Mus musculus: one gene and its partner. The protein of the gene in region 1 interacts with the protein of each later gene in a pairwise test. Links are inferred from orthologs where the notes say so. Each region holds a gene or a part of one and is shown in the gene's direction. Other genes may lie near its edges.

Evidence for each region.
Region 2: the proteins of Coil (region 1) and Pdlim5 interact in binary tests that used the Homo sapiens proteins (3 or more experiments, as listed by UniProt). The two-hybrid records come from large-scale screens. The link is inferred for Mus musculus from reciprocal best matches to the Homo sapiens genes COIL and PDLIM5.

Annotation. Positions count from the first base shown.
Region 1 is NC_000077.6:88,972,019-88,977,876, forward strand, and holds the start of Coil (coilin), read left to right. Parts: upstream 1-1,916; 5' UTR 1,917-1,930; coding exon 1,931-2,184; intron 2,185-5,858. UniProt on the Homo sapiens protein: Component of nuclear coiled bodies, also known as Cajal bodies or CBs, which are involved in the modification and assembly of nucleoplasmic snRNPs.
Region 2 is NC_000069.6:142,241,954-142,246,837, reverse strand, and holds part of Pdlim5 (PDZ and LIM domain protein 5), read left to right. Parts: intron 1-1,826; coding exon 1,827-1,942; intron 1,943-4,068; coding exon 4,069-4,158; 3' UTR 4,159-4,884. UniProt on the Homo sapiens protein: May play an important role in the heart development by scaffolding PKC to the Z-disk region. May play a role in the regulation of cardiomyocyte expansion. Isoforms lacking the LIM domains may negatively modulate the scaffolding activity of isoform 1.

The DNA of each region.
Region 1 (5,858 bases):
ATGTCATTTAGCAGCTTTTTAATGCTTGAGATGAGGTTGAAGAACCAAGAAAGGTGTGAGTCTTTTCCTTAAAATACACAAGGCCCCAAAGCAGCCTTCCCTGATTTTTGCAAAGATTGACTTCAGTTGTAAAGAGAAGTCAGAAAAATATTAATTGAATCCTTGGCTTTTGAAAACGCTAGTTCAGAATGCAAAAGGATGATTAGGCACCATCAGCACCAATAGAATAGATTAGAGATATTGGATCTCACATTTATGATGCTAATCTGATAGTAAATTCTAAAAGTCTTAAGAAAAAAAATCAAACTGTCAGATGTCTTAACTGTGGTAAGCAAGGGCATTTGGAAAGGGATTATAGGGTAGGTGTTCCTAGAATCTGTTTTGTTTATTCCTAGAAATAATCCAGAAGGCCTCAGCCCTCTGCAATATGCATAAGGTGGGGCAAAGACCAGCATTAGACTAATGAATTCAGATTAACAACACCCTAAGAGGCCTCCTGCAGGTGCAGATATCCAATTGAAACCAGCCTTTCCTGTCAGGGTCAGAGAAACTCAGCCCCAGAGCAATGAAAAGACTTAAAGTCTGTTGTTGACACTTCTCAGGTCCAGTGAGGTGCATGGAGTCACAAGCAGACACAGGGTTGTTTGTGTTTCTTGTGATCCGACACAAGAAGACCACCATCTTCACTGATGCCAAGGAGTCAAGCACGGTGTGGGAGCTCAAGCGCATCATTGAGGGCATCATGAAGAGGCCTCCTGAGGAGCAGCTGCTGTTCAAGGACAACCAGCTCCTTGATGAGATGAAAACTCTGAGGGAATGTGGCTTCACTTTTCAGGTAGCAAGGCCAGAGACCCCAGCCACAGTGGGCCTGGCCTTCAGAACAGGAGATGTCTTTGAAGGCCTGGAGATCCACCCCTAATCTTTTCCTCCACCTCTTCCAGACGTGAGGAAGGATTCTGGAAACAGTGCTAAGGAACAAGATGTGCAGTGAGGGCCCCACAGCCAATTCCTAGAGACCTAGAGACCCATTCTCTAGTTGAAAATAAATAAATAAATTGGCTGTCTTTTAAAATAAATATTAAATAACCCTAAAAGCACAAATACTGCTCTCGCGTCATACTGTATTCTACCTCTCGACTGGAGGTGGCCAGCAGCCAGCAGCCAGCAGCAGCCATCCCTGAGGAGAAAGGAACAAAGCTAGAACAGGGCGTCCGTAGGGGATGATTCCCTCTGGGATGATAGGGCCTGCTACAGGCAGGACTGGTCGGGAACAGCAGGCTCTGGAGTGAATGGTGTGGTTCCTGAGTGTCTTCTCTGGGTACCTAGGCACCACCTGGAGTGTCTGAAGACAACTACAGTGTAACTTATATATAATAAATAAATCTTTTAAAGAAAATCTTCCTATTTATTTAGCTTTCTGACTCTCTGGACCGTCAACACTTTCAGAATACTGTTCTGCCTCAAGATGAGGAAAGCACTTGATCTGGTCAGGGACAGAGGACACACTGAACTCCCTGAGGCCCCCAAGGACGTGTGTGTGTGAGTTTTAAACAGTCTTATGAGAACTTTAAGTCTCGCATCACGAGAATGTCTCATTTTCTGCTTGGACACGCACCACAATTTGGTGCTTTCCTGACCTTTTTGGTAGAAAAGTAAAAACCTATTACAGGGGTTCGAGTCAGGCTTGCTGCTTATTAATTTTATAGATTTTTGGTTTGTTTCTGTTTAATTACACGAACCGATATCGTAGCAGCTATCCTGACAGTCAACTTGCATGTATGTTCAGCCCTGAGAAAGAATGGGGAGCTCGCGAGGGGAGCCTTACAGACCTACTTGCGCCCCCAGGCGGCGCACGCTAGCTGCTGCTGGGGGCGGGCCGCCGGACCACGCCGCTGCGAAAGCCCTTGGAACCTCTCGGCTTCCGTCGAGCATGAGCAAGATGGCAGCCTCCGAGACGGTTAGGCTACGGCTTCAATTTGACTACCCGCCGCCGGCCACTCCACACTGCACGGTCTTCTGGCTTCTGGTGGACCTGAACAGATGTCGAGTTGTCACGGATCTCATCAGTCTCATCCGCCAGCGCTTCGGCTTCAGTTCCGGGGCGCTCCTGGGCCTCTATCTGGAAGGGGGGCTGCTGCCCCCTGCCGAGAGCGCGCGCCTGGTGAGAGACAACGACAGCCTCAGGTGCGCGGGAGCGCGCGGGGGTGGGGGTGGGGGCGCGCGGCTCGGGGTGCGGGTGCGGGTGGGGGGCGCTTGCTGGACCGCAGGATGCAGGATCCGGGTAGCGAGCTAGCCAGCTGCGGAAAGGCAGGTTCGCGAGATCCTGAGTGGTCCAGCCCAGGATGGAGCATCCTTCCCCGGGTTCCCCGGGACGCTTCTCATTTCAGGGGGACTAAACTTGGAGCAGCTCCGGTGCTCAAGAGCAGGGCCAGTACTCACTCTGCCAGGCTCTGTGTGCAGTGTGCATGGCGCAAATATGCCACAGACCCGCCTTCTCTGGGCTGCACTTGCAGGCAGGAAGCAGAGATGTTTTCTGAGTAATGTATGGAATGGCCCACCTTAGCGCCTTGGCAGTGTCCACTTCTGGTGGATTTCTGTGTCTCATTCAGGTGTCATTGGGTCCCATCCAATTGGTATCGGAATGCGTTTCACGTGTCACACAGAAGGCTGTGTGTTTCAGTAGCTTGACTGCTTGCATCTCAAAGCCCTAGATTTGATTCCCAGCTGGCTAACCAGGAATCCCTGCACTGAGGAGGTGAAGACAGACAGGAGGATCAGGAGTTCAAAGTATCCTTGGCTACATAGGTCAGCCTGGCATATGTGAGAGCTGTTTAAAAAAGAAAAAAGGTAAAATCAGGCTGGGCGTGGTGGCGCTCGCCTTTACTCTCAGTAGTCGGGAGGCAGAGGCAGGTGGATTTCTGAGTTTGAGGTCAGCCTAGTCTGCAGAGTGAGTTCCAGGACAGCCAGGGCTACACAGAGAAACCCTGTCTTGGAAAACAAAAGAAACAAATGTGAGACAGAGAGAGAGAGAGAGAGAGAGAGAGAGAGAGGCCCGAGTGGAGGTGGCGTACACCTTGTATCCTAACTCTCAGAAGGCAGAGGCAGGCAGATCTCTGAATTTGAAGCCACCCTCGTGAGGGCTGGGTAGAGAAACCTGTCTCAAAACAACAAGAAGGAGAATTTAATCGTTGTCACTGAAGTGAGTATCCAGGAGCGACTACAGTGTGACTAGTTGGCAGGTGGCTTAGTTGTCTCAGATGGCGGGCTGATGCGATTGGTCATACCAGTTGGCATACATACTGATATAGTCTATGGTCCCACCACTTCCAACCACACCTCTAAGCTTCCGCTGCGGTGAGTTAAATTTGGAATTATAGGCCTGGCGTGGTGGTGCACGCCTTTAATCCCAGCACTTGGGAGGCAGAGGCAGGTGGATTTCTGAGTTCGAGGCCAGCCTGGTCTACAAAGTGAGTTCCAGGACAGCCAGGGCTATACAGAGAAACCATGTCTCGAAAAACCAAAAAAAAAAAAAAAAAAAAAACCCAAAAAAATGGAATTATAAAGCAGGCTATTTCTTGCTTGCCTTTGTTTAGTGTTGCTTTCTGTCGAGAGTGCCACATTTGCAAAATTTCTTCAGAACATCAGGGAAATTAATTAGAAACACTGACCATATCTTTGCATCAGGAATACTTAAGTCAGGAATACTATGATTTGTTAATCATTCTGCTTCAGGTGGCAACTTGAAATAGTCCAAATTTCAAACCTCTCCTCCTCTCTTCTCTCCTCTCTTCCCCTCCCCTTCTCTCCCTTCCCTTCCCCTCTTCTTCCACCTTCTCCAACTCCTCCCCTTTCTCTCGCTCCCTTTCTTTTTTGAGGCAAGTTCTCTTAGTGTAGACGAGGAGGCTGGCCTTGAGCTTTGGAGGTCTGCCTGCTGCTGACTCCAGGCAGCCAAGCCTCTTTTCCCCTCTTACTGACAGAAGTAAGCTCATTCCCCAGTGCCCTTTAAAGGCTATTTAAACAAGAGAGAGGGCTGTGTCCCCCACCTGTTAAATTCACTCCCTGAAAGGTACCCTGCCTAATGACTTAATAGCTTGCTGCTGGCTACAGTTACTACTTAAATTAATGAATCACCCATGAATTACACTCTTGTAATGATGTAAAAAACAACGGTGAAACAACGGTTACAAGCAGTAATTGCAGCAGATGACAGGGAGGTTTCTCCTAAATGCCTCAACTGGACAATTGGGCCTGGAAAGACATTACCTCTGTGGGCCTGAGAATGTCACTCAGTAAGTGAATGAGTGCCTTCCTGGCTAGGATGCCTGAGGCCCTGGGCTCAGTCCAGGGAGATAGAGAGCTGGGTTGCAGCTAGCCCTGGTGGTAAATGGTGTAGACCATAGGAAAAAACTACCTGTGAGGGATGGTGAGACGGCTCAGTGGTTAAGAACACTGACTGCTCTTTTTGAGGACCCCTGTTCAGGGTTCAGGTCCCTCCTGATAGATAGCTCATTATAGTCCCAGGGGGAATCTGATGCCCTCTTCTGGCCATCATGGGTACTGAGCACACATAGCACACACACGCAGTCAAAACAGCCTTACAAAGAAAAAATATATAAAATCTGAAAAAATATTTTAGAAAAATAGCAACTAAGTATTTATGGGTTTTTTTAACTTATGTTTGTTTTTTCCTCCTTATAATTGTCTTCCCCTGACAGATTTATTGTATGCATATATGTCTACAACTTAAATGTATGTGTGCTCATAGCATTGGGTGTGCAGGCATGTGTGTAAACGTATGTGTGGAGGCCAGAGCTTGGTGCCTAGTGTCTTTCTCAATACCCTTAGTTTCCTGAGACCGGTCTCTCACTGAGCCTGGAACTAAGTTAGGCTGGCCTGGCTAGTGAGCTCCAGGTGTCTGTCTATTGCTGTCTATCTCTGCCTTCCCAGTGCTAGGACCACAGATACACACCAGCACACTATGGCTCCAAAGCTAGGTTCTCAGGCTTGCCCAGCAAGTACTCTAGTGATTGAAGTACTGAGGGAAGCAATTTACTTTACTTAGTCCTGTTTATTTTTAATAGTTCCTCAGGTAAAGAGAGGCCTCTCAGAGACCCTTCTCACATCCCAGTTGATTTTGAGAGGTCCAGCCCTGTGTATCTCATTTGCAGACAGCCACTCCCATAAGTGAGTCTATGTATGCAGTGGCTAGGTCAGCTCTTGTATTATTTTCTCCCCTTTCCTCTCGGATGTCCCCTGAGCCTTGGAGGCGGGGATGGAACACATTTGTGTGTCATCCTGGTACAGGAGTCCTGTGAGTCTTTCTGGTGTCACTGTAGTTTTAGTAGACCTGCCCCCAGATGAGCGTGGTAGCCATCTCCTGAGTCAGTGCTAAACTCACCATCTCGCCATTGTGAGGACAGAGAAGCAAGGACAGAGGTCCATGGCCAGTGACACATATTGGGAAGGAGAGGGGGCTGGAGAGATGACTCAGCGGATAAGAGCATTGACTGCTCTTCTGAAAGTCTTGAGTTCAAATCCCAACAACCACATGGTGGCTCACAACTACCTGTGTAATGGGATCTGATTTCCTCTTCTGGTGTGTCAGAAGACAGCTAAAGTGTACTTATGTATAATAATAAATAAATCTTTGGGCCAGAGCAAACAGGAACTGAGTTAATGGAGTTGACAACCGGAGCGAGTGGGATTGACTCAAGTGAGCAGAGGTCCTAAAAATTCAATTCCCAACAACCACATGAAGGCTCTCAACCATCTGTACAGCTACAGTGTACTCACAGACATAAAACAAATTTAAGACAGACAGACAGAGAGAGAGAGAAAAGGAGAGGGGCTGGGGAGAC
Region 2 (4,884 bases), on another chromosome or scaffold:
CCTGGTAAAGCTGTTCTTGATAATTTCGGTTCCAAGCTCCTGTCTCTTCTGTTTGTTTTCTCATCTCAACACCCAGCACTTCCTTTTCCTTTGCACATGTGCAAGTGAGCTTCTTACCTTTTACTCTTTAGTCAGATATTGCTTCCACAGTGCATATTTGAAAATAGGAAGTGTGCGTTCCTTTATTTTGCCTCTATTAACTACCATTCACTGCATTCCCACTGTTGAGTTTTAATGATATTTTAGATTGAAATCACAAGTGTGGTCCTTTTGCACAGTGGTGAAGCTCAGGAAGCCATCAGCTCTTGTCTGAAGCTGGTTCAGCATCACTTGCCTGTGTGCTCACGCTACTCTGATTCTCACCTTCCCTTCAGCCTCTTAGCTTGGGAGGGTTTGGCTCTACTCCAGGCTGTCCACCAGGAAACCCCAGAACCTCCAATAAAATACCCTGTGGGTTGTTAGCAGTAAAGTTGCCTGTAAACTGCTTAGCGTTCTCAGAATATACCATGTTTTGCAGTTACTTTTTTTTTCTGAAGAGAGACTTGGTTTTTGTTTAGTTGATCACGAGTTTTAGCAGCTTTGTAGGAACTCTAGGTGTACCAAAGCATAAACCTCTACCTAGCTTGTGATGTTTAATATAGTTTAGAAGCAATCATGACATAAAACTAATGCCTTTCCTGCCTGCAGAGAGGGAATTATGATCTAATGTTTACTCTTTTTCCTTAACCTTCAACCAGTCTTAGCAATCTCAGTAGATGGCTGCAGTCCACTGTCCAAAGGCCTAGGATTTTTCTCTTTCTCTGATCTTCTAGAACCCAGTCTAACAAGTAATCTCTGGCATTCCACCTCCAGAGGGTATCAGACAAGCATCTGCATCCATCTGCAGTGTCACCACCATGTCCAGCTTGCTCTTGCTCTGTGCCTGGACTTCCTACTGGCAGCTGGGGAGAAATCAGGGCGCTGTGAACAGTGCCAGTCAGACTGTGCTTGTGACCTGAGCACGACACCGTCCTCCTTGCTAGAACCTGCTTTGTGGGCTTTCATCTGCTGTCCCCTTTCATCTTGACCTCAGATTTAACCCACACTTTATCCCTTTGTTATTTCTGAACATGGCTAAGATTTTATTTCTGATTCCAGTGCCTTCATACTTACAGTTTCTCCTGACTAATCTCAGTGTGATTCTCCCACTTTCATCATGACTGTTAGGTTTCCCTAACCTTCCTATATAATGTAGTGTATGCTCCGTAATCAGTCTCTATCACAGCCCTTTGTTTGTTTGTTTGTTTGTTTGTTTGTTTGTTTTGCCTCATCGCACTTATCACAGTCTTAGCCGAAGTCCCCTGAGATGAGCATCCATACCTGTCCTTGCTGCAAGTGTACCTCTGTGGGGCCTGCAGCACTGCCCAGTAGAGTGTCTGGATGTGACTTCAACACTTGGTGCTGAAGCATGTTAGCATCATGCTGTACATTATAGAATCCCTCCCCTCTAACTTCAGCTATATTGACTGTACTAAAGGCCAACACAACAGTGATGGAATTTCATCAACGAGAATAAAAATGTGGGAAAGAAAATCCATACATCTCAAGCATTATTATTTAGTAATAAGGAAAGGACGAGGATCCTCTGCAGGGGTTGTCCCATCTCCCATCCAACCCAGTGAGGAAATCCTGACCAAGCTGCCCAACCCCTGGGAGATACTGCGTTCCTCACATCCATCTCAATCTTAACCTTTGTAGCTCATTTAACTTCCAGCGTACAGTTTCCTGTGACCTGCAGTTCCAAAGCCTCACTGTGTTTAAATTACATCTCTCTTTACTTGATGCAGACTACTACGCCCTTTTTGGAACAATATGTCGTGGATGTGAATTCCCCATAGAGGCTGGTGACATGTTCCTGGAAGCTCTGGGATACACTTGGCATGATACTTGCTTTGTGTGCTCTGTAAGTAAACTGCACTGTCCTGGTCAAAGCTTTAGTGCTTGATACGCCAGGGTCAGGGGAATACTGGGGCCAGCTCTCAGGTGAGGGGAGAGAAGAACTCTGTTACGGGGTGCCTGGAGTGGGGCGCAACATTTGAGATGTAAATAAATAACTAATTTTTTTTTTTAAAAAAGCTTAGTGCTTAATGGGAATAAACAGCACTTTGGTTTTTCCATTCCTCAAAGCTAAGGAACAGTGGTTTTTGATGTTCTTAAAAGTTGATTTGAAATTATTTGGCATATAATAGGGTTTTACCCTTTAATGCATTCTTGTCTCTAAGGAGAAGATATTTTTTCTTTTTTTAATATGAGTTAATTTCCTAAATTCTTTTATTAAACAGTTTAAGGTTTTTTTTTTTTACATATTAGATATTTCTTAAATAAAAGAGAAATTACCAAACAAAAAACAAAAACAAAGAACTAGAGAGCCAGCAAGATGGCTCAGTTTTCTTCCTGACTGAGAGATAGCTCGTAGATTTTCTTTTCTTTTTGAAACTATGAACATGGAAAAAAATTACCTATTTACTTGCTTTTTTTTAGTGCTTTGGGGTTTGATTTTATTTATTTTTATGTGTTTGTATGCTTATGTGTATGTTCATACGTTTACATGTTTGTGGAGACTGAAGGACAACCTCAAGTGTCACTCTGACCACACTGGCCACGTTCTTTGAGACAGAGTTTCTCATGGGCCTGGAACCCCCCCAGTTGGGCTAGAGCTTCTGGCAAGAGATCCTGGGACCCTCCTTTCCTCACCCTCTCAGTCCTGGGATTACAAAGCATGCATGTACCACCGAGCCCAGCATGTGTACATGGTTTCTGGGGGATAACACTCAGGTGTTTTATTGACTTAGCTATCCCCAACAGCTTTTTGTAGAGACAGGGTCTCACGCTGTACCCTGGCTGACGTCAAACTTGCTATATAGATGAGGTTGTTCTTGAACTCACAGAGATCCACCTGCCTCTGCCTACAGAGATCTGGAATGGAAGGTGTGCATCACTGTACCTAGTGTTCTGGGGTTTTTTAGTGATTAAGATTAACATTAGCATAAGATAATTTTTATAATTTAGAAAAATAATATTCAGTAAAGCTGTTCCAAGCCAGTATTTGATTTCTGTTAGATTTAATCTTACCTAACAGTATTTGATACCCAGCACATAAAAGAATTAGGTAAAGATGAAGTCAAATGATTTCTCAACTACTACCTTTCAGATCATTCTTATTTTTATTTCATTCATCTTTTAGACTTCATAAAGTTTATAAAAAACAGCTTTTGCATATTTTCCCTCTCAGGAAGGTCTTCTCATGAGCATTGTCACTTACAAGACAGCAGAAAGAACACGAAAGCGAAAGTGTGGGTAACCTGACCACAGAACCACTCACCAGGCAGGCACTGCCCAAGGCGTTCACTGGAGAGTCAAGTCAAATCAGTTCCTTCATGAATGGATAGTTTGTTCAGGAAGTAAATTAAAAACCAGCCTGCTGGGGCTGGAGAGATGGCTCAGTGATTAAAAACACTTACTGCTCTTGCAGAGGACCCAGGATTGACTCCGTATCCATGTCAAGCAGCTGACCACCAGGGCTCGCTGGGTGTCCAAGACACCTGACTCATGCACATACCATACTCAGGCACATACACATAATAAAAGATGAACAAATAATAATAGCAAGAATCTATGGCCTTTGTGTTATAGGACAGACTGACATTGGGTTTGGCAAAGGAATTAAGCTATGTTTCTTTTTGAATGCTCTATAAAAGGAAACAGATTTTTTAAAAATTGGTTAGAATTTGTATTCTTAATGTGACTTTTGGTGTACTAAAATTTTCATTGGGACTAAGTGTTTTCTTCTTAGTAAAGAAAAGCAATCATCTGTTATTTAAATAAATCAGACTGTTCTAGGAAAAAAATCACTCTGCTTTTCAAAAATGACATAAAATGTCATGTTAATCATGAAGTGTCAGCTTGTCTCACACAACTATCTAAAGAACTTGTAATGTTGCTCATTGGGGGCAGTCACTTCCTGTTGGGAGATTTGATTTAAATAATGTTATTCTTTTAAATAATGCTTCTTTTTTTTTTTTCTTCCAGGTGTGTTGTGAAAGTTTGGAAGGGCAGACATTTTTCTCCAAGAAGGACAAGCCACTTTGCAAAAAACATGCTCATTCTGTGAATTTTTGAAAATCAGTGGTTCCAGGAAAGAGAAGAAATTTGAAGAAAAAGCAAAATCAAAATTACCATTTAATTTTTAGTTTAATATTTATATGGAGTTCTCAAATAGTAATAGCCCTGAAGGCACAGACTCCAACTTTAAAAATCAAATCTGAGAAAACGTTTGGTTTAGAAAGCCACAGACAGTTTGGCATTTGTTATGAATTGCCAGTATTTTCTGCACATGAAATAGCTTTTATAAAAATCAATTTCCTGGCTATTAAGTTCATCTTAGAATAAATTAGCAAAGTATTACATTTTAGAATTAAAATCCCTAGCCTCTATGCTGAAATAATACTTTGTGGGGCGGGTAGTAGCTATGAGAATCCACAGAAGGCAATAAAAGTGCCTTAAACCTTATTAATAAGAATAATTGTTTAATAAAACCATTTTATCTTTAAAATAGTAAGTAGAAATCTAAATAAATTTTATGAGTAGGCAGTAACTTTTCTGTTTAGTGAGTGTACTTGCTTTGCTCTTATCATTGGTCTTACCTTTCAGTAAGATGGGCCATGGAAATTCTTGATCAAAGTGTGTCGTGCCAGTAAGAGATTGTTGTGATCTCTTCTGATGTTCTCCCAGATGCTGGCCGCCTTCAGATGGGGCAGTTTGTTTGTGTTGTGTATGGCTGCCTGGTCCAGACCGCCATGCTTTTCATCTCTTATGCTGACATGAAGATATTTCAATAGCGTTAGA